2 linked regions of the Drosophila melanogaster genome follow. The protein of the gene in region 1 interacts with the protein of each later gene in a pairwise test. Each region holds a gene or a part of one and is shown on either strand. Other genes may lie near its edges. The genes, in order: CG30393 and CG44001.

What was found.
Region 2: the proteins of CG30393 (region 1) and CG44001 interact in a two-hybrid assay, tested with the Drosophila melanogaster proteins (one large-scale study listed by BioGRID).

What each region holds. Positions count from the first base shown.
Region 1 is NT_033778.4:21,260,235-21,273,490, reverse strand, and holds CG30393 (uncharacterized protein), read left to right. Parts: upstream 1-5,911; 5' UTR 5,912-5,975; coding exon 5,976-7,040; 3' UTR 7,041-7,127; downstream 7,128-13,256. Other genes in the region: CG30391 (uncharacterized protein), read left to right, coding at 7,246-8,262; Rgk3 (Rad, Gem/Kir family member 3), read right to left, coding at 1,205-1,321, 2,577-2,730, 8,958-9,170.
Region 2 is NT_033779.5:5,035,540-5,053,015, reverse strand, and holds CG44001 (uncharacterized protein), read right to left. Parts: upstream 9,747-17,476; 5' UTR 9,633-9,746; intron 9,215-9,632; exon of another isoform or gene 9,008-9,214; intron 8,710-9,007; exon of another isoform or gene 8,409-8,709; coding exon of another isoform or gene 8,327-8,408; exon of another isoform or gene 8,304-8,326; intron 7,620-8,303; exon of another isoform or gene 7,533-7,619; intron 7,195-7,532; coding exon of another isoform or gene 7,091-7,194; intron 6,870-7,090; coding exon of another isoform or gene 6,672-6,869; 5' UTR 6,449-6,671; coding exon of another isoform or gene 6,041-6,448; 5' UTR 5,913-6,040; coding exon 5,810-5,912; intron 5,744-5,809; coding exon 5,537-5,743; intron 5,474-5,536; coding exon 5,238-5,473; 3' UTR 4,653-5,237; downstream 1-4,652. Other genes in the region: eIF3h (eukaryotic translation initiation factor 3 subunit h), read left to right, coding at 281-361, 702-1,379, 1,446-1,703; CG9121 (uncharacterized protein), read left to right, coding at 2,139-2,358, 2,999-4,225, 4,297-4,652; CG44000 (uncharacterized protein), read right to left, coding at 6,041-6,448; CG33995 (uncharacterized protein), read right to left, coding at 6,672-6,869, 7,091-7,194, 8,327-8,408; CG31650 (uncharacterized protein), read left to right, coding at 10,303-10,525, 11,180-11,327, 11,477-12,134; SP555, read right to left, coding at 12,840-12,896, 12,989-13,207, 13,276-13,905; CG14042 (uncharacterized protein), read right to left, coding at 14,259-14,894; Col4a1 (collagen type IV alpha 1), read right to left, coding at 16,279-16,539, 16,808-17,476.

The sequences.
Region 1 (13,256 bases):
AAGAAATACTTTTTTAAACGTAGTTAACTGTCAGAATAAAATGGGAAAAGAGGGATTATAGAAAAAAAACGTGTGGAAAAACTTTAAAACTTGTGTTTTTCATTCACATCTATTCGCAGCTATGTTCCATTCCATATATCTACTTATTTTGCGTCTGTCAAATGGTTCCGGCTCCTCCGTCATGACTAAGTTATGACACCTCGTGTGCTGTTAGTACGCAGGCTTGTCGTCTGTTTCCTGTCATGTCTGCTCAAGTGTTCCGTACTCCGTTCTCCGTTATCCGTATTCCGTATTCCGTATTCAGCTTAAACACGTACTTTAAGTCTGACGTGCATTTATGGATGCAAAACGCTTGCGGGAGCGGCTAAAGATAGCAACTATAATGCTCACCACCTATCTATGTAACCACAGAGAAGTAAAGGGATTTTGAAATCACTCTTGCAAAAGTAGCAATTGTTAGTCAAAACCTGATTTGTTTCTTCAGGCTTAATCAATCAGTTATTTTATAGAATCACTGAACTAAAAGACACTTTAATGCGCTAATAATCCCCAATTCACCTGAGCCAAGCAGTTTAGCTTGCTAATCGATCTTAATTGAATTTAAGACACTTGAAATTGTTGCAAACTTTCTCAACGAGATATCATCTTCAAACTTTCAACCAAGTGCCTTACAGTTCCGAATCGCACTGTAAGTGGGTTGCGATGGCACACAGTGCGTATGTGTAACAATAACGTGACACAAATGTAGAATATAAAGGGAGGAAAAAAACAAACACACACATATGTAATGGCAAAAGTTCGCAGGACTATGTGGCTATGTGAGTGTGTGTGTGCATATGTACATATGCATATGTGTTTTTTGGTCTGGGTATTCATATTCTATGCTGAGTGGCATTTAGTGCCACTGATATCTCCTTAACATCTTCGGGTAACAGCCTTTTAAGATTTCAATAAGGATTGCTGCGCTGCGTGTCCCGGAACGAAACTATAATTTTATGCCGTCTCGTGTATCGTGTGTCCCCAAGATGATGTGCGTGTTCCCAGGTCCCAGGACTCCCTGGCTCCCTGTTGGCCTCCAAACCCATGGCCGCATTGTTAAGATGTGTAATCCCAGTCATCTGGCCCTCGGGCTTTGTTGACTTTCAATTTCGAAATTAATAAATGCTCCTCAGTGGTCTTTGTTGCGCCACTCGGGTCAACTCACCTCCCTTGGAGGCGCTGAAAGTGCGCAATCTGTCCACATCCTCGTCGTCGTCGTTGACGCGCAGGTGATGCATGTTCATGGTGGGCACGTCCAGGAAGGCGTTTGATTTTCTGTGTGCTGAAAGAGATTAATGTGGATTGCATTAGGGATTAGGTTCAACCATTAGGCTAAGCTGCCTAGTTTGAATAATTTACAGATGCTTTAAACTTTAAACTCAAATATACTGATAAATGAAACTTGATTCTTATGATGATGATAAATGCACTTTTAATTGAAAAGCTGCGAAAACAGCGGAAAAGCTACCTTTTACCTGTTAGATACTTTTGACCAAGTCTAGTATACCCTTTTAACTCTACGAGTAAAAAGAATTTGAATATATGAATAAACATTGGCACGCAAAAACCCGAACGTAGATAAATATGCGAGAAACCCTTCGGTTAAACGTGCTGCATTATTGATTCAGTATTCCCTGCTCCAGCTGGCTGACATTTGGACAGCTTTAATGGTTTCCGTTTCCCCATGTCGAGTTGACAGTGAGAAGTGCCACACACGTATGTAGCTCACTTGCTGCCCGGGTAAACTGGGTCAATGGTTAAGTTCATCGAACGCCCACGTTAATTGAATCAACATTAGTGAAAGGTACTTAACAAAGGGACGAATGAAACAACCATATGCTCTGTTTCAGCTTCAACACCTCGCCTTAAGGACCTGCACTGCTGCAGGATGCTCCATGCTCCTTTTGCACACCAGGACCTAATGGTCAATTTTACATTGCCGCCGCTCTCGTGCTGCGAGCAATTTGGCTGAGAGCTTAGTTTATGCCACATAAAAGATCAGGCTTAGCACTTGGCTAATTTGTTGCCGTTGTTTCGCCGCTTTGATGGCTCCATCCGGCCATTAAAAGCCACAACTTTAACTAACTTATGTACAAGTGTGGTCGAAATTCTAGTGAACTGTGCTGCTACTAATGGAAGTGGTTTAAAAGCTTGGGCGAGTAGAGTGATACATTTTAGTTTTAAATTCAAGCTAACAACTAAGTGCTTGTCATTTTTGGTTTTAAGGCATAATAGTAGCTTGAATATCCTAAGTAAGTAATTTGAGGAAGTAATAAGAGGATGAAAAAGTGCTAAAGGAGCATAACTATCAAACTTTTTAAATCTTTTTGAGGTTTGTTTTATACTACTACTACTACTACATTTCAGTGAACCAAGCTAAGCTTCTTATCTACAAAGTTACCAGGTAATCCTATGAACTGCAATGTTATAGTTTACCAGCTTAGCATCAACTGCATTTTCATTTCTTTGGCATTCACTTGGTATCTATTTAATTCACCGCAATTGTAGATGCTCATCTCCGGGCGTAATTTACTCACCGTGCGTCTGTGGCCTCCGCTGCGATAGCTTGCGGCGCTGCGGAGGCGTCTCCGTCTCGCTCAGCCGGGGCTCACTGGTGCAGTAGCTCCGGGTCTCCTGGAGCGTGTGCTGCTGTTGCTGCTGCTGCTGCTGCGCCTTGGTCTTCTGGCGGACCTGCAAGTGGAAAGGAGGAGGAGGCGTGTCTTTAGAGCGGGCAACTATGTATAGCTATGTATAGCTATCTATCAAACGCGGCCCAAGGCAATCGCTGTGATTTATGGACTGCCCTTGCCGATTGACTGAGAAATTAAATTGCATTTCTCACACAAATCAAATTGCATTTGTTTGTCCTTTGGCGTAACAGACGCCCCAGACGCCCATCTCACTTGGCCACCGTCAATGGCATAATTTATCGGCTTGTCCTGGCCCTGGTCCTCGCTAGAAGGGCTCCTGCGCGATCCTCTTTGAGGGGAACTAGAGTAGGGATATCCACCTAAATGTCAAGGTTAAACGCCTCGGCCACTCCAAATGCAATCAGCGCCAATGCTTGTTTCGCCCGCCGCAAAAGTTTCCTGCTCAGGCATTGGCGGGTAGGTTGGAGCAGGAGGACGTGTCCCTGTTCCAAATCCTTCATGCCACGTCCAAGTGCCTGTCAAGCCGCCTCAGCTCTGCGGTGCTCCATTGGAAGCCTGGCTGGCTGCCTGCCTGACTGCTAGCTGACGACGGGGCGAAAACTAATTTCACCACTGTTCCGGCAATGTAAGCTTCTTGTTCAGTTTCTTTGGTCCAGTGTGAGGGCGATATATATTTATAGCTGTGGCCATAGCCGCATGCAAAACGTCCAACTTTGTTAGCCACTTCCGTTTTCCTTGGCCCAAAAATCCAAAAAAAAAAAAACAAAAAAAAACAGGGGCGAGGGCGAACAATATGATTTGGGTGTTGGGGACCAATTAGTTGGCAGTTCGAAGTTATTAAGTTGTGCCGCTTATGTCCTTGATTCTAATTAATGGGTTTGGTTTTGCGGGGAGTATGTTATATATACGTATAGGTATTCAACTTATGGCTTTAAGCCTTTGATACGATTTCTTAATTAAATTTAAAATTATGTTTAAAATTAGGCCTTCTACATGGAACATCTTTAAAATAAATGAAACCAGTTTGCTTTAAAAAAATCTACTATATGTTTGATTGAGTTATGACCGTAAAGGTTTTTGGCCTGAATTTGTTGCTGATCGGGAACCTTAATCCCCTGAAAGCCACGCTGATTCCGCCACTGTTCCCGCACAAGGTTTTCTCATCGCTGGAAAACGGCACGCCGGAAGCGCTTGCTACGTGGCGTCGGCTGTCAAGTGGCCAGGGATTTGGGCCACGTTGAGTTTCTGGTCAGTTGGAGGGACCGGCAAAGCCGCCAAATCCGCAGGAAGTGTGGCCAAGGGGGCGGGGCGGCGGTCATTAGGCGAGCTGTCAGTGTAAACGTTCCTTGTTTATTTAGTGGCCGCTCTTTTGCGCTTTTTATGGCGCACACACACACACATACGAGTTTAGACATATAACTACGAACCGGACTGTATACGTATGTACGCATTTATCCTGGCATTTCATGGGCTCTCGTGACCAGTAATTGCTCTTCTTTTTTCGACAAATGTTTGCATGGTCTACTTTGCCGGCTTAATCAAATATTACGACCATACGGACGGACACCCACATCTGATCCATCCGGATGCAGTGGTCAGATGGTCGATGCTTCTCGCTTCAGAAATTAATTGCTTCCTGGCTTCCCAGTTCATTGACCATGCCATGGTGCTCCGCGGCATGTCCTGCGGCGGAGTCTTCAATTTGTACCCGCTTAATCCCCAATTAGTCCTCTGGGGCAGCGCACATAATTTATTTTCTTAATGCGCCCCGTTTTACGGGCGTCGGGGGATTAAATTAAAATTCGAAATTAATTTCACATTTCCCAGACACATACTATTTGACTTTTAAATTGATAAGACATATGAGTTATTCGTAAGGTTGGCGTCTTTAAATTTAGTGATATCTTACCAAATATATCAATATTTTTCATTTATTTAGTTTTGTAAAATGTACATACATCCTATATTTTTCTTGCAAATTTATTGTGTCACTGCTTAAAGTTTTGATTGCACACAAGGCTGCAATTTCCTTGCCTCCGATGAACTTTTGTGTCGAAAGTCGCAAAATATTTCCCCATTCATGGCTGTCTTATTTATTTGGTTTGGCTATTTGTTGGTTTTTGTCTAGTATTTGCATGGGATATATCTGACTTTGGGCCACAGAATGCCGTGCAAAACGAAAATAGCATTACAATGCGACTTCATCGTGTTGGCTGCTGTTGTGGCATCTTCTCATTAAACTTTTGCGTCTGCAGATGAAAAGTGCTAGCGACTTATCGACATTGGAACATCAAGGCACTGAGCACTTCAAGTTTACTTCCTTGCTGCTTGCCGATTGTATCCTTACTCCCCGCTTCCTTATAACAAAAGTCGTTAAAGCATTCCTAACTCGTTTTTAATACCCTTTACTAACTTGCTTGGCAAAACCAGTACGTGTTTGTAGTACTTACTATTTTAAGCATATAGTTTTTTAACAAAATTTGAAATCTATTTCGTTTAGAGAGGAGTTATGTATATGTGCAATCATACGCCAAAATGTAGGCAATGATTTTTAGAAACCAGGTATTCAATAGTCGGTAGCACCAAGCACTTACTTCTCACTTGCTTAGCTGCGAACTCATTACGGCCACGCCCAGCCAGAACATGCCGCCCCCAAAAAGCGGGAAACCATATGTGTGTGTGTGCGTGTGTCTTGGAAACTTTTTCTATATAAATTACCAGCTCGGGGCGCATCTCAGGCGATGAGAACGACATTTTTAGCACGTTGCATGGTTGTACGGCTGCTTTTTGTTGCCTCGTTTGCTTACTAATAATGTCGCGAGCAGAAGCAGAAAAGCAGGGGATTCACCAGCGAGGGATATTCAGCACCAGAAGCTGCGAACTGGAAGCTACACCCCCCCCCCCCTCACCAAACCAGCCAGGAAAACTCATACGCAGCGTATGCCGCCACGTGGCGAAAGTCTTTTGTGCGAGACAACCATCACATCAGTCCGATGAAATTGAATTTCGCCACGATATAACTCAATTCACACGCCGCACTGCAAGTGCTCCTCCGAATTCAAGGCTCCTCGGACGGCTGGCTGACGGAATCAATTGAATTGGAAACGTCAGCGACTTCAGTTTTTCTCTGTATTATTTCAGTTGCGGTGATGGTAAATACAAATAAATCCAGCTTCCTAAAATAGGCCTTTCCTTTTCAGTCAAGATTCAGTTGAGATTGTCGAATAAGTCGGACGGGTTCGTCGTTATTAGAGAAGGAGGTATATATATACACACTAGTTAATCATGGAAACAACCGCTCAGCTGCAGCAATTGAAACCCCAACAGAGCGTCATGTCGCACGTCACGGTCACCGAGAGTGATGCCGAGTTTGCGATCTTGAATCTGGATTGCAACGAAGGTTTGGAGAGCTCGGTGACCAAGATTCTGGTGGCCATCGAAGAGATGTTCTGCAGTTACTTTGAGGATCTCAAGAAGGAGCTGGAACTGCAGAAGATGGCGGCACTGACCTTGAATCAGCTGACCCAACGTTACAGGATCAACACGAAGGTGGACACGAGCTGCACGTGTCCGCAGATCTATGAGATCGAATCGGATGATGCGATCATTAACAAATACTACATCTACTACCAGGTGATAGCCTGTTCCAACAATAACCAGGGTTGGGTCATCCACAACATGCGCCCCTATGTTCTCCTCTTTCGTCGAGAGTGCGCCAAGTTGAATCTGAACGAGGATAGTCCCTTCATCATGGGTGACGCTTTCCACAAGCCAATCAAGTTCTTCATCGACTTGGTGGAGGAGCTCTTCGCCTACTTCTACAGTGGACACGTACAGTTCGACTGCGCTGCCCACATGTTGGATCCCTTGGACTTGAACAGCATCGAGTACTATCAGAAGCTATTGGAACCCAATGAGGATTTCGCAAATTACTTCAAGTACAACATGAGCTTCTGCAAGTGCCTGCGTATGCCGCGCCGTTGTCCTGCCCACGAGTATCCGCAGGTGAAAGAGGACTTTAACGCCACCTTTGTCAATCAGGCCAAGAAGAAGCGGTGTGCCAGGCGATGCGAAAAGATGGCCGAGGCCGAGAGCAATTTACTGGATCGAAAGAAGTCCATAGTTAGACTCCAACGTCCCAGTGAGATGTCTGGCATAAGCACCGGTCAGGAATTAGACCAGGACAACGAAAGGGAACTGAAGAGGATCTCTAGACACCAACGTCGCAGTGAGAGGTCTATAATAAGTATTACTAAGGAAGATTACCATACTCCTCTGCCCGACAACCGACACGAGCTAACTGTAAAGGATTCAGTAATCAGATGGTCGGTGAACCCACAAATTCTCTGAAAGTATGATAAGTTTTTAAATTTTGTAAGCAGTTACGTTTATTTTATATGAGGTGTATAGAATTTAATAAATTGCCTACTGATTTCCAGTTTGTTAGGATTCATCATCTGGTATAGGGGTATCCATCATCGTCGACTTAAATGTCATTCATCAGAAGTTGTCCTTGTTTTTGCAGGGAAATACACTAAAACACACACAACCGAAAATGGAAATGCGCGATCGGCTGTACCAAATGATGGTGAGCCAGAGCTTTATGTCGAGAGGCACGGTGACCGCGAGCATGGCCAATTTTGCGATTGGAAATCTTAGAAGTTCCGATGCTGTAGAAAAGAGAGTGATCAAAATTCTGCTGGTGATCGAGGAGAAGTATCGGAGTTACTTTGACAGCTATAGGAAGGAGCTAGAGCTCCAGAGGATAGCGGCAGAAACACTGCACCAGCTAATCCAGCGCTACAAGATCACCATGCAGCTGGACACCAGCTGCACATGTCCGCAGATCTATGATATCGAATCGGATGATGCGATCATCAACAAGTTCTACATCCACTATCAGGTGATAGCCAGTTCAAACAAGAATCAGTGTTGGGCCATCCAAAGCCTGCGTCCGTATGTGCTTGTCTTTCGCCGTGAATGTGCCAAGTTGAATAGGAGCGAGGAGAGCCCCTTCATTCTGGGCGATGCCTTCCACAAGCCCATTCAGTTCTTTATCGACCTGGTGGAGGAGCTGTTCGCCTACTTCTACAGTGGACACCTTCAGCTGGATTGCGCGGCGCGTCTGTTGGATCCCTTGGATCTGTACCGAATGGAGTGCTACATGAAGCTATTGGAGCCCAACGAGGACTTTGCCGAATACTTTCTGCACAACATAAGCTTCTGCAAATGCATGCGGCCGCCACCGATGTGTCCGCCGTACGAACACCATCAGAAGATCAAGGATCAGTCCGACGCATATCTCAGTCATGCCAAGAAGAAGCGATGTGCCAGGCGGTTTGAGAGAATGGCCCAAAACGAGGCACAGACTGCGAAGCGGGAAAGCGGCTCAGTGGAACGGAAAATGTCCATTGGCAGCGCGAGGACGACCAGGAGTCTAAGTCGGGAGGCTTCTGTCGTGGAAGAAGCCGTATCCGTATCCAATCAGCAACATGAACGCACCCTAAGGGATCAGCTGATGTGCGCCCTTAGCATTTCCCCCGAAAAAAGGCACGACGCCACCAACCAATGAGGTCAACTCGGATTGTAATCGATCAATTAATTGGGCCAAGTGCACGTGATTGCGTTCTCCGTTTCTCGGAAATGCCGGCGGAAATGTAGTTATACCCAGTTAACTCAATCCCTTCAATATTTGTGGCACGCAAATGGGAGTTGTTTACCAAGTAAACTTCAAAGTGATTATGCACCTCAATTCGGAGATACTTTCAGCTGAGCACACTCGATTAAAAGTGAGCTTAAGTTTTCACTTCAATCAAGTGAGACACTTCAAAATTTGTTGTCAGACGAACCCATTGAAGTTTTTTCAAGTTGGCTTTAAAATTAAAAATGTGATTCGTGATTGAACATTATAATCTGTAAACTGCAAAGCTAACAAACAAATATAATAAATTCAATTCAGAGTAATATTTTTATTGATGCTCTAAGTGCCATTTCATAAAATCAATCAATTATATTTGCGAATCAAATGGTCCTTTTGGGAATTAAAAAACACATTATAATATTGTTGAAATGTCAATCTGCATGTGCGTGACTACCAAATGGGCTAAAAGACGACGTATTTATAGTAAGCAAACGTGCATTTATCTAAAGCTATAAATAAATAAGCAACTTTTGCCAGAGTGACGGGCAGATGCAAATGCTAATGCTAAAAATCTGTACCGCTTGGATGCGTTCCAAGCGCATTACGTATACGCCCCGCGTACTCACCGATCTGGCGCCGGAGGTGATGCGGGCGCTCTGGGAGCGCGTGGCCGGTCGGCGTCGCCGGTACCCGGGAGTACCGCCCTCGGGCGTGGCACTGCCGGAGGCGCCGGGCATTCCATGGATGACCGTCTCGATGCTGGCGCCGGTGGCACAAATGGAGGCGCTGCGCGTCTTCTTTTGCATCCGATGATGCATCGGTGAGATGTCGTCCACCATGGCGACTTCTCTTGATCTCGTTTGGTCCAACTCCTGGGAAATTTCCGTTTGTGTCCGGTGTGTGGTCTGTGGTCTTCGCCGGCAATTTTCCGTAACGAGTTCGGTCAAGTTGCTCTAGGATTTGCTACTTGTGTGCATTAAGCAGTTCGTGCTGTGGCTCTAGTTGCTCTATTTTGCTGCTGTGGATGCTTGGTTGCATAATTCATAATCTGAGTTTTGGTATGGTGTGTGACTTTAGTTTGTTTTATGGTGCACTCTGCAAATAAACCGTGACAAGCAAATGAAACGAATGCACAAAACATTTAAATGAATTGGTTTTTTTTTTTTTAAATAAAATTACACTTTATCTCGAATATTTGCTTCGGTCGTGACGTGACACAGAAATAACCCAAAGAAATACTGTGTATATATATTTTCGAAAAGCAAAAGTGAGCTACGAAAAGCGAATTTCATCTGCGTTCTACAAAATGCTATGTGTAACAACATGCAACATAATTTGCTGTGTGATTTTTCATTTCGCCCCGCAGCCATTAAACATAAAATTCCTCTGTTTGTTTTTCCAATCCCCCACCCCTCTACCACCATTCTGTTCATTCCCCCCTTTCCCCATTCGATTTATTTTTAAACGTGCCTCACGCGTCTCTTGAAAACTGGGTCAGCTTCGGTAGTTGGCCAAAGCCCATTCGCATTTTCAGTGGACACCCCAAAAACGACAAATTGCTACAAACAAATTTGAAATTTATACGAAGGGGCCAAAGCCTTTGGGAATTGTGGTTTCCATCGGAGTTATATAAAGGCTTAGATGACTGTTACTGTGCGTTGGTTATGCAAGCGATTGGGGTTATCCATTCTGATTCTGGTTCATTGATACCGGGTTAGTTGGTTAACTTTTCGTTTTTATATGTCAAAGTTTTTATTTCACTTAGTTTAATCTGTGTGTCAGCAGCCTCCTCGCTACCTTTTCAAAACAATTACTTTGTATCATTTAAATCTAACTTTATAGAAACAACTTTCTTATGCCAAATATTTGTTTCTAAGCCATAGCTTACTTTCCATTTTGTATGGACTACATTTATTGCTAAACCTCTTGATGAATGATTCCCAGAATTTTGCCGAGATTTCTTTCCATTGATTTCATAACAAATCGTTGTTTGGCTTCACTTGATCTTGTCCGTTTATCACGTAATCCCCATTGGTCCAAAAATAAACTCTTCATATTGGCTACAGTTGCTAACCCTTGCATCACATCATCCACATGTCGAACTCTTTCGTATGGTTTCCTATAGACAAAAAAAAAGCATTTCACAATTGAAATGTAAATAAAATGCTGGAAAATGTGGAAAGTTTCGAGTGGCACGGTGTGGAAAATGGTCTTTAAAGAGTTCGCCTAACTTAAATGAGAAACGTAAACTGCAGACTGCGAATTCTAATAGACACTAATTGCCATTTGCAAGGGCAGATTTCCCGAGGCGAAATTAAATCCATTTCTCAACTAGCCCAAAGGCAGGGAAACTCAAATTGAATTTTCCACCGACCGATGAGATGGGCTTTGGAGTGGCGGCTGCGGATGCGGATGCGGATGAGGTTGCGAAGGCAGCCGGCGGGCCAATCAAAACATATTTGTAATCCATTTAGGCATCCTGTTCGCTCCTTAGACATGCATCATTAGCCACTCGACCCGGGGCATCCTATTCCATCCAATTCCATCCATCCATTTGGCTGTCCTCCTCCATTCTCCTCCATTCCACAAATCGAATTACGCTTTCGCTATCTTTTCATCCGCACTTGCACTTAAGTGCATCCAGGACACTTTTCGCACATTGTAGCGAACTTGATGAACTTGCAGTTTTGGCCGCATTCATTCGAGGACTTTAAGGTCCTGCTGCTTGGTAATCAACTTGTGCGAATGATTAAACATAAATAATTAAAAAACGAGCCACGCTTTTTTTCGCGCTTCGAAGAGTAAAAGATTCGGGCCAAGTTCCTAGCCAGTAAATAATGCAAAGGACTCGGGGGAAAAAGGAAGCAGAATAAATACAAAAACTTGAAAACGTCTTTAACGCGACGGCTTATGCGAGAACAGCTTGAGATAAAGAGTCAGCGGCACTGAGAGAAAAAGGTAGCTAAAAGGGGTGCCTTAAAAATGGCCAAATGTAAATGTAAATTCATTCGACTTCCCAAGAAACTAAAAGTGTATGTTATGTGTAAGTGAAAGTGCATTTTATATTGCATATTAAAGCGTTTTTTTTTTTATTTTTATGTATACCTGGGCCAAAAGCAACAAGAAAGCGGCCAAAACCACCCCAGCATTTTGACTTAAGCAGCTTTAAAGGGTTGCGAACAGTTTCTGTGCTGTGAGAATCCAGCGATGCATTACGCAGGACACACTAAAAAAGGGAAAGCGAAATGGGTACGCCGATGATGATTTCAGCTGCTGACCCATCCAGTCGTGCATGAAACTCCAGGCCACATGACGATGAAGTTGTCTTACTCCTCCTCCTCGTCTTCATCTTCGCCGGGGATCCTTTGTCAGCAAATGGAACTGGAAGGCTGCTTGCCTCGTTTGCATTCAATTGATGCCGCTGGCATTTCTGGCTAACAACAGCATTGCGCGTGTGTGTGTGTGATTCCTTCTAATTGGCCGTAGGAAGAGTAGGAGTATGGTGTCACCATGCCAGAACTTTAAAGCTTCACTATTCATTTTCATTTCATTTTTATGCTCACAGACTTTGGCCAGCATTTTCGGGCCATATTAGTGGTGCGTTTGGTGGTCATTTGCCTTTATGGCCCGATATGATGTGGCCAAAATTTCGCTCCCACTCTTATCGGTTGGCCTGTTGCTAGTTATTAACATGAATATTTTCGCTTCAGCGTTTTCTGCGCCCGGCTAATCAGGCCACCCAAATGATGACAGCTGTGCTCGGTTCCAGGCAACGTAGGCTATCACAGAAATAAGCCCAAAAAATGGTTGCTTCGGCCTACCAATATAAACCCTACAAAAAAATAACAACAAAAAATAAAATCCCCGATAAAGTGTCAACAGATAAGGATTATATGGCGCGGAAAGGGGTAGGGTTCTGTTTTTTTAGCCTGGAAAGTAGGTGGTTCAAGGTTGGCAATTCATCTGCCTAAAACAAAGGTGAAACCATCACAAGCATTTAGCTGAAACTGCAAATTTGATTTGATTTAAATGAAAGTTGATTGCGGTCGAGAATAAATTGATTTAAAATTTAGTATGTTCAGCTTAGTATGTTTTATAAATCCACAATCGACATAGATGTGCAGCTAACGTGATTATTTGTGCTGATTCAGGAAATATTCCCCTTTAAAGCACATTAAAGTTCGTATAGAATGCAGTTGCCTATTAGCCAACTAATGCGTACATTTTTTTATCCGCCAGGAAACGCTCGATTTCATCTTGTCCAGCATATGACCTTGAGCCACGCCTCCTTTGTGTGCGAGTTTGTTTGGCGTGCCAGCGGCTTCCTTCAACATGTCCACATCCACATCCACGTCCTTGTCCGATGTCCATGTTGTTATCCGTGTGGCAGTGCAGCTCGTGTCGTTGTCAGTGGATGTTCGCAGCGTTTGTTTAATGTTTCCCTTTGAGCCCCATCTTGCAACAGGGGTATTTGTTTATGCTCATGGCCAGCACCTGTTGCTGCAAAATTAATTTCAATGGGTCACAAAGCGCCGGCTGCTTGTCCCAAAGGAAGGGTGGTGGGATCAGGAGTAGGATTCTCTTCCTATTATTTCTGGCCGCTGATTGGCGACATTAATCCAAAGCTAGTGGCAGCACTTTCTGGCTGAGATCTTGGGCCAAGCTTGAGCATATATAGCTAGCTCACTATTAACATTTTTCGCTGGCAGCTTGTCAACGCAAATGAGCTAAATAAAAACAAAAAGTTTTTATTGCGCATACGCCACGTTGTCGTTGGTCGTTTTAGCTCTAATGGGACAGCATGTTATTAGCAGCGAGCTATTTCATTTGCTCTTTCTGCTCTCAGCTGGGATGAAAACAAATTTGAATGATTAAATAAATTATCCAGCATTTGAATGTGACAGTGTGGACTAAGCGTGCGAAGA
Region 2 (17,476 bases), on another chromosome or scaffold:
CGGCAACCGCAGTTATCAGTACCGTTCCGCTCGTTCGTGACAAGTGGGCCGTTTCTCGGTTTTCTAGGAAGTACAATTTTGAGTTTGTTTCTGTTGCTTTTCCACTGATAAACAAAATATATTTTGGGCCTTTTTTTATCGCTCGCCCGAACAGCTGATTTTAAAGCAGTGCACGCTTTTCAACACTTCAACCCACACAAAAATTGTGGTGTTGCGAAACGCCCTTTTACCACTGCAGCCGAGTTCACGTCGTGGGTCTTTTCGCTTACAATTCGTCAACATGGCAAATCGCGCAAATCGTCATGCTGCTCGCACCGAGGATTCGGATAATACCATTAACTACGTCCAATGCGACGGACTGGTGAGTAGTGCTGTTGGCCAAAAGACCTGGCCGAGATTGGCCCGTGGGAACCGGCGCGAAAGCCGGAAAAGTTAATGCCACGCGCTGTCTCAGAAATTTGCGTGCTTTGTGTGTGTTTGTATGGGTGTTCGTGAGGACATGGGCGTAGAGCTATAAGGAAAAGGGGGCCGGTCTCTTCATTACCATAGCACAAAAAACTTCAGTCAAATGTTTTCTTCAGAGAAACTATTAAAAGAAAGTCCGAAATATATCTACTTTCCACGCCCCTGTTCAAATGCAAATAGTTGTCTGTCGCTAATTGATTTTGGAACATAATTACTACGATCACTTTACCTTGCAGGCCGTCATGAAGATGGTGAAGCACTGCCATGAGGAGTCGAGCAACATGGACCTCGCCCAGGGCGCCCTGCTCGGTCTGGTGGTAGACAAGTGCCTGGAGATCACCAACTGCTTCCCGTTTCCCAAGAGCGGCGATGAGACCATGGACGAGGAGATGTACCAGCTGACCGTGATGCGTCGCCTGCGTCGCGTCAACGTAGATCATCTCCATGTGGGCTGGTACCAGAGCTCCGACGTGGGCAACAGCCTGTCAATGGCTCTGTTGGAATCGCAGTACCACTACCAGACCAGCATTGAAGAGTCCGTCGTTGTCGTCTACGATACGCAGAAGTCATCCCGCGGATTCCTGTGCTTGAAGGCCTACCGCCTTACTCCGCAGGCCATTCAGATGTACAAGGATGGCGACTTCACTCCAGAGGCATTCCGCACCCTGAAGGTCGGCTACGAGAACCTCTTCGCCGAGATTCCCATTGTGATCAAGAACTCGCCGCTGACCAACATTATGATGAGCGAGCTGAACGAGCTGCTGCCCGAGGACAAGGGGCACAACTTCCTGGACCTGGGCACCGCCACCGTATTGGAGAACCAAATGCGTAGCCTGATCGAGCGCGTCGACGAGTTGTACCAGGAGGCAGTGCGCTATAACAAGTACCAGCAGGTGGTCTTCAAGCAGGATACGGTACGTAGCAATATAATTAAATATGTAAAAATTCCTAATCGCTTTCCTTGCATTTATATTTTTTAGGAGAAGCACCGTGCTCTGGCTAAGCTGGCCGCCGAGAACGCCGTTCGCACATCGAAGGGAGAGCCCACGGTGCCAGAGGAGGAAGTGATCAAACAGTTCCGCCCCATGACTGCGCCCAACCGCCTGACGGCCACCATAACCTCTGGCCAGATCAATACCCACGCCCAGCATATCGCACAATTCTGTTCGCAATCGCTGGCCAAACTCTTCATCACGGAATCGCTGCAAATTGCCAAGGAAGCAAAGGAAACCAAATAGATTAGCTAATGTTAAGCGTTTTTTAAGCTGAGGCAACAACATTCACTACCCACAAACATAGCAACTGCACACACAGACGTCGAAAATAAACCAAACAAGCGATGAGTGGGCTTGGAAGCGAACTGCCAGCTGATTTCTTCTTTATTGTACTCTCCATTTGCTCAATAGAATGGCCAATTCAAACCGCCCCAAAAAAAGAAAACCACCACCCGCTATGCAGCCAAAAATTGGTACTGCTTCTGCGCACGCCGGATGTTTGGTTTCACTTCTCGATGAGACTTTCCGGGGGAGTGTTGCTGCCACTGACGACATCGACGCACTTTTCACACCACCCCACAAGCAGCTGCTTATCATTTGGTTTGTTCTTTTCGCTTCGCCTTTTCGCTAACCAGCTTCAGTTAGCCTAACTAACTAAATTACTAACCCGATGGCAAAATGCTGTCCTACGACCTCAACGAACGCCTGCTAACCGCCGTACAGAGCGGAGATTTCGAGCAGGCTCTGGGCTGCATCATGCAAGGTGCCCAGGCCTCGTATGTATCGCCCACTTGCGGACGCACTGCCGTGGGCACGGCGGCCATTCTGGGCGATGCCGAACTGTTGGAGCTGCTGCTTCAATCCTGCGAGGAGCCCGAGCTGAATGTCTTTCATCAGTGTGAGTTTTCCTTCCACTGGTTCGTTCTGAAAACAAACGAAACTAACTTTCGGAAAATTTAATTGCATTAAAAACAAACACATAGAGAACATTAGAAAAAAAAATGCTGTGGGTAAGCTAGATAATGTGTATGTATATTGTTCAAAGGTAAAACATAAACATAAATAATAATAATAATAATCAATGGATCCAGGAAACGAATTAGTTAGATACAAGAAAATTTTAAATGAAGTGCCAGTTCGTTTGTTCACTTTTGGAGTATATATAATACTATACAGAATTTATTATAATTTTAATACTCCCACTAAGTTGAATGATCCAATTTTAGTCGGTTAATTTTGTACGTACTCAATTTCTTGTTGTGCATTCTTTTCTCTTTTCGGGTCTATCCAACATAATGCAAGCACAGAGAAAAGTAAGTGAAGGCCGGAAAACCGGTTATCGGTTGGCCAGTTAACCGGCTGATAACAATGCTCGACAATGGGTTCCAACTGCAACCAGACACAGTAGACACGGCTAGTTCTATGTGGCAAGTAACGAAAATCTTGTCAAACCTGAAACCTGTACTTCATACTGTCTTAGCAAAAAGATTTTCAAAAACTGCTTTCTTAGAACGTTTCACGTTGGTTTTGAATTGCAGCGAACACGGATAGCCTCGAGATCGAGCGGACGCCCGAGGGTATGGAGAAACTGGAGTGGGTGGATGAGTTCGAGAATAGTGCGGAGAATGGAGCGGGCAGCGGCGAAGAGGATAGCCAATTGTATCAGTATTATGCGAAAACCTTCGAAACCACCGGAGAGTTCATATCATCCCAGTGCTGTGTCTCCTGTCGCGAACATGATCCGCATCTCTACGATGCCGATGTGGCCACTCCGCTGCACTACGCCGCCTACTGGGGTCACGAGGAGTGTGTGCGCATCCTGTTGGAACACAACGCACCTATCAATGTCCTCAATAACGATGGATACGCGCCACTCCATCTGGGTGCCGGTTTCGCCGGTGTCACCGAGCTACTGATCAAGCACGGAGCCTTGGTGAATGCCAAAACCCTGAGTGATGGCAAGACGGCGCTTCATATGGCCATCGAAAGCAAGTGTGCGGAATCTGCCCGTCTACTGCTTCAAACGAACATCAACATCAATGACACGGATGATGATGGCGAGACACCACTGATGGCGGCCATTGCCTGCAGCATGTTGGACGTAGCTGAAGAGCTGGTGAAGCGTGGTGCTCGCATCAATATCCAGGACAAGCAGAATCACACGGCCTTGCAGTACGCGGTGAGGGGTCGTCACACCCAGATGGCCAAGTTGCTCTTAGAGCGCGGAGCACGGCGCCTGGCCTCCCAACACCTGCTGCATCTCGCCGTTGAGTCCAATGTCAAGGAACTGGTGGAGCTTCTACTGCAGTACGGCGAGAGTTTGTCCGTATGGAATCTCAAAAACTTCACACCCATCATGCTGGCCATCCATCGGGGGCGTCACGAAATGCTTGAGTATCTGCTGAACGTGGCTGAGGAACAGCGCAAGCTCGGACTCTACTCGGATGTCCACGATGAGGGCTTGGTTCTGTTTGCCGTGCAGCAGAATTTTTGGGTTAAGGAGTTTAGCCGCATACTGCGTGTATTGCTTGCCAAATCGCCCAGCGCTCGTAATGATTTCTATGACTCGTGTGCTCCGACAATCGTTTGTGGCCTGATTTATTGTCACACTCCGTTGTCCAGGGCCATCAACCTGCACCGCCTGGAGGTGGCCGAATTCCTCATCCACGAGGGCTGCAATCTGGCGCAGATTTGCCGGGAACATGTGGTGAATGAGCTCAGATCGAATTGCACACCAACACGATTGGCCTTTGCCAGGTTGCTATGTAAGTTGCTTACTCTGATCTTAGTTCCTATGAAGTACATGGTAGTTATTTTCATTTCCTATTGTCCATAGGCAACGCTGGCTTTCAGTTTCCGCACAAGCACCGACCCCTGCCCAAGGACTGGCCACCAGCGCGGCTGGAATTCGAGCGGGAAATGTGTTTGCTTGGCACCCAGCCACGCTCCTTGCAGTCTCTCGCTCGCCTGGAGATTCGTCGGAGTCTCCTGAGATGCCTGCAAACGCGGCCGGAGGTGCAGGAAAGGTATCTTCCCACTCAGGAGCGGTCATCGCTGGGGAGGATTGTGGATGAGTTCGCCATACCCGCCACCTTGAAGCGTTACCTCAGCGACTTTGACGAACTGCCGCCGGTGAGGGGTATGGAGCCGGTCGATATACCTGTTGTTAAATGGACTGAGTCTTGGGATTGATTGCGCTTTAGGAATTTTATTTTCAGATTATATAGGTTTTATATGTTTGCTATAATGATAGGTAGCGTATAGTTTTTGTAAATTGGCGACGAGTGTGTAGGAAGGTTCTGCAATAGTTTCCTTAATTTCAATTTCAACGCCAGATTAATTAACAACTTCGATACACGGACTCCAATGTGATATTAATTTTCTTACGATGTATTACAAATTTTGAACAGAATTTTCACGCAAATCTCGCATTTTTCAAAACGAGTTCCGTGTGCACATCCTGTTGGGCACAGAGTTTTCACTAAATTACTTGCACATTTTATGTTTACTAGGCATGTGTATATAGTCTATATAGAAGATTTAAACGATGTATGTATCCACTATGTTAATTTGACTACGCAAACGTTAAGATTACTTTTCCCATATACAATCGATCTCGCACACAATGCAAACAAATAAGGACGTATGCAATTTCTAAGTAGGATTTTACAACGATATCGGGTGCAATTTTATAGAAAACGTGTTAACAGACTCAATAAACAAAGATATTTAAACCGTAACGAATACGAATATGTTGAACGGGGAATGACAAGCCCTTTAGGGCTTCAGCAGCAGCTTAAAATCATCATTGGCGTTCTCCATGATGTACTCAAATGCAATTTTGTCCTTTTTATCCTTGACCAGCTTAAGTGTTGGCTCCTTTGCCAGCAGAATGCGACACACCTCCAGGTGGCCCCGCATCACTGCTCGATGCAAAGCGGTCTGTCCGCTCTCGTCCTGCAGCAGAAGATTAGCCTTGTGCTCGACCAGTAGCTTCACGATTTCCAAGTGGCCTGCCGTCAGATTAAAACTCGTAGTATTGATTGATCATAACTGCGATTTGCAATGGTTGTTACCCATCATGGCTGCACGATGCAGCGCGGTGGCTCCTGCTTTGGTCACAGCATTCACGTCTGCCTTGCCCTCGTCGAGAAGCAGCTTGCAGATGGGCTCGTTCCCATTGCGGGCCGCATAGTGCAGAGCCGTATAGTCGCAGTCATCGCGAGCCATCGACTGGCCCTTCTTGATAAACTCTCTTACACGCTCCACTTCGTTATAGATAGCTATACAAAATTAAAGAGTTGGTCAAGGACGATAATAACCATAAGATTCACGGCTGTATTTCTTACCTGCATTCCAAATGCCTCGATCGAAGTCCATGTCGCTTAACGTCTGCTGTGCCGGCTGCGTCTGCTTGTGGCACTTGCAGTTGTCCGCACTATGTGGATCCATCTTAGCTTGCCGATTATTTCGAGATATTCTCTACAATTCCGAATTCCGAATTCCTTTTCCGCTTCTTTTGCTTTCGCTGCCAGTTGCCTGATCTTTGACGCTATAACAGTGTGATCTCATCAAACGAATTAGACCTCACGCTGCATGGTCCAACAAATTTCGGCTTCGCCGCAACTGCAGACAACCTTGTAGCTTAGCTGGGCGAGAGTGTTCAGCATAACCATGGGCGGCACTGCCACCATAATACCATTGACGCACGCCTTAACACCGCTCTCGAAGCGCTTGGACAGGGCTTGAACTTCCGCTTGATTCAGGCCAAAAATGGTGCAGGTGTAATCGTGCAGCGAGCCCTTGACGGTCACGTAGGCAAAGTTGCCCTCCGACTGCAGAATGGGCACCGGTATGGTCACCACATTGGCCGGTACGTTGGCGGTGGCGGCGTTCAAGGATGCAGCCGATGCCGCGGACACGACAGTCGAAACAACTTCGCTATTGAGATTCTGAGGTTCCTTCAGCCCGACTGCGCCCTCACTCATAGTTCGTTCGTCTGAAGGGACTCGCTTGGTCGCCTCCTTTGCTCAGTGTATGTTATGGAACAAAATTCCCTAGGTTACTATAATTTTTTTTTTTTCTTTTTTCACACCGAAACACGCACACAATTCACACACACACACACTAAATTATACAACTAGAGTAGAGTTCTTGGTTGATTGCTGCTCTTTTTTTTTTTGTTTGTTTTGGACTGGATGGGATGCGGGTCTATTCAGGCGAATCCACCTTGTGATAGTTGCCTAAACTGGCTGCCTCGCGGCCAATATTCGATAGATTTTCTCGCACCACGGACTCGGCTTCCAAGGGTTCTGGTTCGTCGAACTCCTTGCGCATCGTCCACATGTACTCGTTGTAGTCCTGCTTCACGGCAGTCGATGAGCTGGCCACTACGCGAAATCCCAGGATCTAGAAGGAAAAATGCAGAAATCGATGAGTCACTGGATAATTGAAAGTTCAATAGGAAGGGAAGTGGGGTTGAAAGTTTTACTAAAATAATTAATCAGTGCCTGCTCGGCGAATTGTTTAAGTTGATAAAATAACTGCTGTCTCATTAGATAGCGAAATGTGTGTCTATAAGAAAATATCATTCTGAGTAGGTCGGTATGGGATCTGGAAGGTGTACTCACTTCTAGCGCCGATAAAATCCGACAAGGATGCACTAAGTAGACGATGGTGGACTCGTCGCTGTAGCCGCCGCAGGAGAACTTGTTCAACTGCTCGATGTCGTCAGCTGGAAGAATGGGCAATGGTTATCATGGGTGCTACTTTTGATAAAATCGCTTTCCTTTTCGCTAATGTTTAAACAGTGCAAACAAAAGATAAACTCGGCTGTGTCGAAAAGTGACGTCAGCCCAGGGCAATTGTCTTTCAATGTGAGTGTGCTAATTAAGCGAAATGGCGAAAGAAATATTGACTGCTGTTTCATAATAAACGTAAAATGGGAGTATCTCGGGAGTATCGTATTTTCTTTGTCCCTAGACGATCCCAGTGCATTGACTTCTGCGCCGCACAGATACTACTTCCAGAAATATGCACCGGAATCGAGTGCATATATGTGGCACTACGTACGGCTGTATATATAGATATCTACAAATATAAGCACGACAGGCCGCTCTGCCAGGCGAACTGCACGGAGCGAAAAACAAACCCAAACTGGCGAACTGAAGACCTCGTCTGCGGGCACCAAACTTCGCACAGTGGCGGTCGAAAAAAGCGGAATGGTGCGGGCAGGCGGATTTCCAGGGGCAAATGGAGTGCAATTAAAGGGCAGCTGTTGATTTTATGAGGAAAATAACTACGGCACAGCGCTAATGGTTATTGGGTAACCAGCAAATAAAAATAGCTTGCCGTAGATTTTTTTATTTATTTTTTTTTTATTATTGTTTCAGTGAGATTTACTGTAACTTTACAATTCAAAATGGGAGTAGAATTTGAATGTCAAAAAATAAGTATAGGATTGGATTTTCAAGATGCTTTCAGTATTTTAAAGAATATAACTAGATAAAGTTTTAAAACATTACATTGTATTATTATGACATCAAATAGGCGTGCATTTGGTCATGTTTCCAAGCTTGAGCAAAATACATGCTAGATATTGAAACAATAGTTTGAAAATAATATATGTATATAATATTTATACAGCCACTGTCTAACCATTCAAAAATTTGTTTTTTTTTTTTTTTTTTTTGTGGTGCAAAGTGGAAAAACCGAAAAGAGCGTTCAGAAATCTATCGTGTGTTCGTATCTGTTTGCCAAGCTCTCGAAATGAATTGTGTGTGTCGCAATGGTAAACACACTACAAATAAAAGCGAAACGAAACCAAAAAAAAAAGAGATACTGTATCTACGCGGTTCAGGCTTTACCTTTCAACCCGGAGACGAGCACCCTCCATGGATATTTGTGGCTGTAGGAGGCTAGATTCCCCCGTATGATTATGTACGGCATTTGGCCCGATTACTGCTGAATATATCTGCGGATTAATTAGCGCGGGCGTGCCAACGAAAGCCGTGAAACGTAAGTGAAAACCAAATGAGATACGAAACCGTGAGGCAGCTAATGCTCGCTGTGGCGCTCTGCTGAAGGCTGACTCTCGACTGAAACCGAAATCGGGTAACACGTTGTTGACCAAGAGGTTTTCCCAGCGCTAGCTCAGCTCTACTGCTTTGGCTATTTTGTTTGGTTTGGTTTCGTATTTTTATTTCGCTTTTGGGCGTCGCGCAGCGCTGCTCTCTGAAATGGTTAGCAGCTATTTTTTTTATTGGATTAGCCTGCGGCGTAAGGTGGCAGATACCCAAATGACAAAGTGACGCACTCTGGCCAGGATAATCACTCGACCGATATATGTACGATATGACCCAACCCAGTGGCCAAGGCGGAACATATACCTAGATGGCTATATGGTTCAGGGGACATTCTAGAACCAGATATTACTGGACATTCTTTCCTAGCTCAAAACTTATTTATATATATTATTATAAACAAAATGAATTGAATTTAGCCTCAGAAATGCTAACTTTCCTAAAAACAAAATCCCATTCGATCAACGCTTTCAAAACATGCAGACAGTGCGAGTGCAAATTTTGAAATGGATTACCTTATTGCAATCCCCCTTGGAATTCCACCAGCGACATCCCTGAGCCATGCGCCCTCTCGCTCGCACTCGCTGGCGGGGTGGCACCCCGCGACCAGTTGCATGTGAAGCTTTAGTCAGTGACTATAATTACTGACCTGACCGACCGGTCGACTAATGAGTAAGTATTTCTGTCGCTCGGCGCCCAACGAAAATACTAATAAAATGAAAATAAAAGTCTAACCAAGCCGGTCAACAACTCCTACCCACATACACATACATAGCCGCGCGCGCACACACACACACACGCACACGTAGGCAATTGGGGTCCTGGAAATGCACACGCACACACCCAGTGGGCTCAAGTGTCCTTTGCGTGTTTGGGGCACACAAAATGAACGTGAATTATGATCAAATTTCGAAATAAATAAACGCGCGGCTCCAAATGATTTTTATGCCACACAGCTGTCGCAAAATGATGTCATTTGAATTTAATCAACTTCGTTCGCCCACTTTTTTTTTAGATGTTTTCAGCTTTTTTCCTTGTTGCTTTTAACCTGCACAGCACTGTGTTGGTGTTTTTCTCTTTAAGAGCTCACCTGCTAAATTAACGAGGCTTTAGTTTAGCAATAATGCGCTTTTCGCCAATTTGTGCAATTTATTTTCTTTTATTCCTCGTAATGTAAGTCAGGGCTGGCGCGTAGCAAACACTGCTGTAAAGTTAACAGCAAGGTGGGCAGTGTTGGTAGGGCGTGGAAACACCAGGGCTGCACAGATGCTAAACCCAAAAATCGATGGGCTAACATTTATTTTTCGCTGACGGTCACATTGTCTGCATTTTCGTTTCTTTGGTGTACGCAAATAAATAAACGAATTTTTATGTGAACATGTATTAATATGTATAGGTAAATAAATTAATTTCCATGCCCATAATATGCACGTGTGACTGAAGGGCTGTGTGGTTAGGTAAACAGTTGTGGTCAGCGAAATATTGGCAAGGCAAGCGAAGACAACAGCTGTCGGTGATTATTTAAAATTCAAAAAATAGTTTTTTTTTGTTGTCGGTTTTTTACTGACATTTGCATATTTCAGAAGCAGGCGAAAGGTGAACTGAGTTCATTGTGCTGTTGGGCATTACGTGTGCGTCCATCCGGTCTCCCTCCTCCGCCGGAACATCATCCCCCCCATCCACTCGAGAACTCGGGAAGCTGCCAAAAAAAAAGAGAAAACAAAGACCAAAGAACACGCCGCTTGGCATAATCAATTAAAATGCCTAGGAATCTGCCGCTCCTCCCGCTGACCCTCTGTGCCGTCGCCTTGCTGGCCGCCGTGGGTCCCATGCCCGCCCATGGGGCGGTGGCCAACAGTCACAAGCACGAGAAGCACCTTAGCAAGGAGCGGGTCAAGGACGGCATCTACGCTCCCCGGGATGCCCACCACCACGGCGAGGATGGGGAGCACAACGTGGAGTTCGATCACGAGGCCATCATCGGTGAGTCAGCGCTAGTTAGCAGAGAAAGCAGATCATATTCAGTTTGAGAAAATCACTTTGAAAAGAGCGAAAAAGACTCCTTACAATGAAGGTCATAAAAGTAGTGCTCATTTCCTGAAAAGCAAATAAAATATAATCACGTTTTTTTGCCAGAACAACAATAGAATTTCCAGTTTCAGTTGTTAATTTGTAGAAATATAAAAGTTTATTTTAAGGATACTTTCCAACCCAATGAAATTATGAGTATTGACCATAATTTTGTATTATTTTAGTTATGAAAAGGACTCATACTTTTTTTTTGTGTATGCTATGGTGTATGCCATATGTTTGTTTACTTGCCTGAGGTTTATTTTTGTGGGTCTGCACACGGAAAGACTCATTCAAGCATCAAGAGAATACGGATCAGTCAATACACATACCCATTTATGCTCAAAAATATTGCTTGAAGGTCGAAATATAGTTTACTAATGAATTGGAATATGCTGTAAGAAAATGTATTATTGAAGTATATAAGTTTGTATAGTTTTATAGTGAAATCATTAAAATTGTTTTCTAAAAGCAATACGTCAATGGCATTGCTGCTGTTTTATGTTCCATTCAGTTTTAAATGCTAATGTATGTGTGTGCTATTATTACTCTTTAACCACAAAAAAGGCAACACGAAAGAGGCTCAGGAATTCGACTCACTTTCGCCAGACGAATCGAAGCGACGACTGTTGATATTGATCAAAATGATGGATCTGAATAAGGACGAATTTATTGACCGGCATGAGTTGAAAGCCTGGATATTAAGGTCCTTTAAGTGAGTGTTGTCTGTTGATTAATACTGCATCAATGTTAGCCAAGCCAATAATCACCTCAGCAACCTAATGCTTTGTCTAAATGCTTGCCTAAACTGAAAACGCATAGACTATTTGAAGCTTTTACTAAAATACATAATACAACTTGCAGAAAACTGTCGGAGGAAGAAGCCGCTGATCGATTTGAAGAAATAGACCAGGATGCGGACGAGAGAATTACGTGGAAGGAGTATCTCCAGGACACATACGCCATGGAGGATGAGGACTTCAAGAAGGAGACCATCGACTACGACAGCTACGAGGATGAGCAGAAGATGATCAAGCAGGACAAGGAGATGTTCAATGCGGCCGACACGAACAAGGATGGTGTGCTGACGCTGGAGGAATTCGTTTTATTCCAAAATCCCGAGGAGCATCCACAAATGTTGCCAATACTGCTGGAGCACACGATGCAGGACAAAGATGCGGATCACGATGGCAAGATCAACTTCCAGGAGTTTGTCGGCGACGCAGCCTCGCACCACGACAAGGAGTGGCTGATCACGGAGAAGGAGCGCTTCGACAAGGATCACGACTCCAATGGCGATGGCGTGCTGACGGGCGATGAGGTCTTATCCTGGATTGTGCCAAGCAATACGGCAATTGCCAACGACGAGGTGGACCATCTCTTTGTCTCCACCGATGAGGATCACGACGATCGCCTGTCCTACCTGGAAATACTCAACAACTACGATACCTTTGTGGGCAGTGAGGCCACCGACTACGGCGACCATTTACAAAACATTAACCATCTCTCCGACGAGCTCTAGATGCCATTCAAAGCCCCATCGTGCTATAGTGAACCTGTGCTTAGTATTGTATTTCGTTTAAATAGTTAGTAAATTTATGTTTATTTATGTAAATTCAAGTGACAATTGCAAATCAATATCGCCAAATTCTTTTGAGCACTTCTTACGAATTTAATTTTCAATACTATTTCGTTTGTTTCGTCATGTATCAATTACATTATGTGTAGTAATTTATATAAACAGAAACAAAAATCTACATAAAGCGTACTAAATAATTTTTACTAAATTACACTTTGCTTTATATGCAATTTATGACTAGACACATTTTCATTTTGTTACATTACAGTACTTAGGCCTTAATTGCTGTCTGCGAATTTACAAAATTAGTTTAGCAGCGTGTTCTTTTTGACTAGATTTCACACTCGTCTGTACCGAAAAATATGCTTAGCTCTAGATTATTTTGCGATTTTCTAGCAAGCACTTGAAGCCCCGAAAAACGTTTTTCTCATTTCTTATATCACAAATATTGCACCAAATTGGCCTATTTTCCCACATTTTCGCTACAAATGAAGACAAATCAAAAGGTCGGACGACTATTATCCACACAAATTCCGAATGCTTAAACTTAGCACGCTCTAAAGCTACTACGAGAAATGCACACGTCCCAGAGGAGCCACTGCATCGTCTGGTAGTCATTGGGCACTCCAATATGTGATGGCACTAAAATCATTCACGGGCCTCATACAAATCGTAATTCATAATGCACATCTCCAGCTGATTCACCTGGGGGCGAGGACGTACTCTATAAACTTAGCTTACGTTGACCGGACACGATCCGAGCTCTACAAATCACACAGTATATCGTAGTTGTCTACCTGACGCAGTGGCTTCTTCTCGTCGATCACCTCGCTCAGATAGTCGGCGATGGGCAGCGGCAGCTTCAGCTTCTCCAGCTGCGCAGCGCTTCGTACGCGGCGCATGATCACCGCCCGACAGCGATCCTGTAGGTTGACGAACTCCCTCCTGGTGCACTTTAGGGTCATCTCCGTTTTGGCGGCAGTAGAGCATACGATGGGGTACAGGGGCTCATCAATCTGTTGGGCAGTTAGGCGAGATTCTAGAGCCTGATCCTTGGAGGATTGAACAATTCAACCGGACTCACCTGATCCAATCCGCGGAAAGCAACGCCCAGGCACTTGCCATCCTTGTAGAAGGTGAGTGTGCCCTCAATGCCATCGAAGAGAACGCCAATTTGGGTGGGTTGATTCTCGCGGAACCGCTTCGTGTACAGCAGGGCCACGCCCTCGTGCCAGAGCACGCCCTTGTGGGACAGTCCCCAGCCGTGTTCGTTCTCGCCCAGCATGTTCCGGAAGGCGTTGGCATGTAGCCGTGCCGACTTGGTACCGATACCGAACATTATCGAGGTGCCAAAGACGCGCTGCGAGACATGAAGCTCCCAGTAATGCCGTCCGTTATTCAGGGATCTTTTGCCCTGGACACCGGCAGTGCCCTTGCTCCAGTTGGGATGGAAGTGCACGGTCCGCGAGTTGGGTCCTCTGAGCACCACTTCCTTGGAGCGGTGCCGCTTGCTCCACGTCCAGTTATCCTCAACGCCATTGGGCAGCGGACAGAAACGGGGTGGCGGCGATGTGGAAGATGATGCATCCAGTGAACCGGACGACAACCCTCCTGTTACTCCTCCTCGTCGACCGGTTGGACGACGTCTCCTCGGGGCAATTGCCGCTATGGGATGGGGGTGAGCCTGCTGTGGATCCACTTCAACATCAGACATTGTGTTGCGACTAGAAATTTTTTCGCTTCTCAATTTGTATCAATTTGACAAAGGGAACCCTTCGAACTGTTGGGAGGGGGGGGGGGGGTTAAGTTTTCAATAGGGTTGGCTTCCTGGGGTTGATGAGCTTCTCCAGGTCTCAAAAGTTGTTGAAATCGTTCAAGGAGCGGCTTCAGGGGTGGCGTCTTTAGCTCGTAGTTGTTTGTTCTTTCGTTTCTCTGGTGGTTAACTATGTTATACAATTTTTTTCAATACATCTTTATAGCATAGTTTTTATGAAGGGTTCTTCAGTTCTCCAGACGAACTCCAAGTGGATGATTCTTTATGCAAGGATGAGACCAAGAGGCGTTTATCTACAAGTAAGTGGTTAGTAGGGGCTGTTGGATATCCTCCTGCGGCAGGTCCTGCAGCTCCGCTTCCTCCTCCAGTGGAACGTCCTCAATAATATCCTGATCGAAGGACGCCTCCTCCTGCTCCTGCGATCCAACGCTGGTCAGTGAAGCGTAACCACTGCTCAGGGAACTGCTGCTCCAGCTGGCACTCAGTCGGACTGGACGATAGCTTCTCGTCGGTTGCAGTTGCTGCTGCTGCTGGCCAAGAGTCCGCTTTAGCTCCCGCTTGATTCGGCGAATCTGCCGGAAATCCTGCTCACCACCGGAACCCCTCTGCCTGTGCAGCTGCAGCTCCTGCAGATGGAAGTGATGGCGACAGTAGCCCTGCGGACTGTGAGCACAAAATCGACAGGCCTCGGAATTGAGGCCACCAACGAGCGGAAGGATTGGTTCGAGGATGCGACGCTTCTGGCTGCGCTTCTGTTGCTCCAGCTGCTGCTCCGCCAGGCGCTGTGGCGCCTTACGATCGCCCACCGTTTCGGCCACCTCCTGCAGCAGGCGCACGTTCCTCGGGAAGCATCGGTCGTGGACGTAGAGCACCAGGCGTTGGCAGTAGAGGCACAGCGATTGGAACAGCAGCAGCAGGACGATAATCATAAATATGTAGGGGTGGTGGTGTGTCCTCTTCCTTTTTTTTTTTTTTTTTTTTGGTGGGGCGGAAGACTGCTGCTTCTTGGGAGTCTCTGATTTTGGTGGTGCACTTCCCGTTGGCTTTGTGGTCTTGTTAGTTTATGCAAATTTCACGCTGCTTTCCAAACGAGAGCTCGCAATTTTCACTGTTTTTTTTTTCGAGGTACACACATTTTTTCCGTCTTGCTGCTCCTCCACACCTACAAAAAGCAGCTCCTCTTATCTGGCTGAAGTTACAACTCCCACCGACGACCGCCTCCGCTTGCGTCCAAGTCACACTGGCTTCTGGCACTTTTTTTCCAACTCACTTTTACGATTCCAACTTGAATCGCCCCACAAAGGCCTACCCTTATTTTCCACGACCTGCTTCCAACCACCAATTGGACTTTGTGCGCGTGTGTGTGTCTGCATATCATTATCATATGGCTCGGTCCACCCCACTTTATGCCCCGCAAACCGTCCACGGCGACCCCAATCGTCATCGCCACCCCCTTGACAGCTAACCAACCCCCTCCCCCACCGCAAATCCGCACAAAGAGAGGCAATGGCATGCGCACAAGTGCACGAGGTGAGTTCGCTCTCATCCTTGGCTTGGCATTGCTTTTTTAAGGGTTCTCCGCGACGGGGTTTCCACCACAATAGCCTACCCTTAGCCCTGGTCTTTTGAGGAAGATCTTATCACTCAATGTTAGGGGTAAAAAGTATGCAGTATTTGTCTTGCAGGAAGTTTATCACTGAAGGGCATACGATTTTTTATCCTCAACAATATTTGCTCTAAATAGGCTTGTATGAAATTGTGGTCGTAATTTGTATTTATAAATTTTAGTTTATTTTAAAACGATATGCGACAAGTTTTGTATAGCAGTTGAGGATTCGATTCGTTCGATATTCGTTCGATACCGCGTTTTGTTGCATTGTTTCGCATTTAATCGGTTTCAAAAATAAATGGAACATGCTGGCACATAGTTTATTTTATACTTTTGGACATACGACCGAGGCTAGTTTATTTATTTGTTTCATTTACTTAACATACGTAACGTAACTTAGAAGCAGTTTACATTTGTTTAGAACATTAATTGGCAGATAAAAAATGGCATTGTGGTCCAGGTCGGTCGGTAATTAGCACTTCGACTTGTGGATCCGTTTTTTTTTCTTTTTGGTTAGATTAAGGAATTTGTAGCAGTGTTGGTTCGTCGGTGTATGTATGTGTGTGTGTGTGTTGGTTTGTTTGTTTGTGTTTGTGTTGTGATCGTGTGGGTGTGCACACGATTCGTTGGTAATTTTAAGGCTTTACATTTAGATTAAACTTATGCTCTGTGCTGTGGGTGTGTCTGTGTTGGGATTGGAGGTCCTACGAGGAGTTCTTCATGCACACCTGGCACCTGGACACATGCGACTGCCGCTCGCCGGCCTTGATCGTCTGCTGCTGTGGCCTCTCGAACGGCTGTGAGGACTCCAGGTTGTACATCCAGAAGCTTGTCATCGTCTCATAGAAGTGGCACGTGCCCTTGGCGCCGTTGCACTCGATGAAGGGCGTTGCACGGAAGTCCTCCAAACAGGAGCCAGGCGATTGCAGCGCCTGTCCACCGCCACCGTTGCCCACGGCAGTGTGCTATTATAGGAAATGGTTGGGTTAATATTAGCATCATTATAAAAGAACTATTTAAAATCCCACAAGTAGTTAGGAATAAAGGTTGAAAATTAAAACTATTGTATCAAATCTTTCGCTACGCAGTATCCAACAGATGGCGCAAGAGTGTCGTTGGAACGTGCGCCATCTGCTGGAAAGCTAGGGAAACTTCGGAAACGCATCCCTTGTGGATTTTGAAAACTCTCATCATTCTTCTATAATCTAACGTTATAAGTGTTCCGATACTCACCATGAGGAAACTGTAGCCAATCCAGAGACCCTCCCAGCCATTCGGACAGTCGGGCACCTCTATCGTTTGACTGTGCACGGCGATCACATTAGCCGGCGCCTCACAAACGACGCAACGTGAGATGTACTGGCGGATCTCGATGTTTTCAACGGGCATCATCGGAATGGCGGCGTTGGTTGTCAGCCAGAAGGTCTTGTCATTTCTGGAGGCGTAGTTGCAGACGTTATTCTGACCACACGACAGTACGGGCAGCGTTGAGAAGCGTGGCACACAGGATCCGGGGGATCCAAGGTCCTGGTTGTGGGCATAGTCATTGCCATCGACGTACAACAGGGAGTAACCCGTCCACAGTTCCGTGTGTCCAGCCGAGCAAGCGGGCACCGTTTCCGATTGACTGTGTCGCGTAATCAGGATACCGGTGAGATAGTCCAGAGCAGCGGGGGCTGGAGCACCGGGCTCACCCTTCTGGCCGATCAAACCAATGGCGCCCTCATATCCCCTCTCGCCTGGCTCTCCGCGATCTCCCTTGGGTCCGGGTCGTCCCACGTTACCAGTCTCACCGATCAGGCCGCGCTCACCCTTTTCGCCACGCTCACCCTGGATGCCAATCAAGCCACGCTCTCCCGGACGTCCGGGCTCTCCCTTAGGTCCATTGCGTCCCGGCTGACC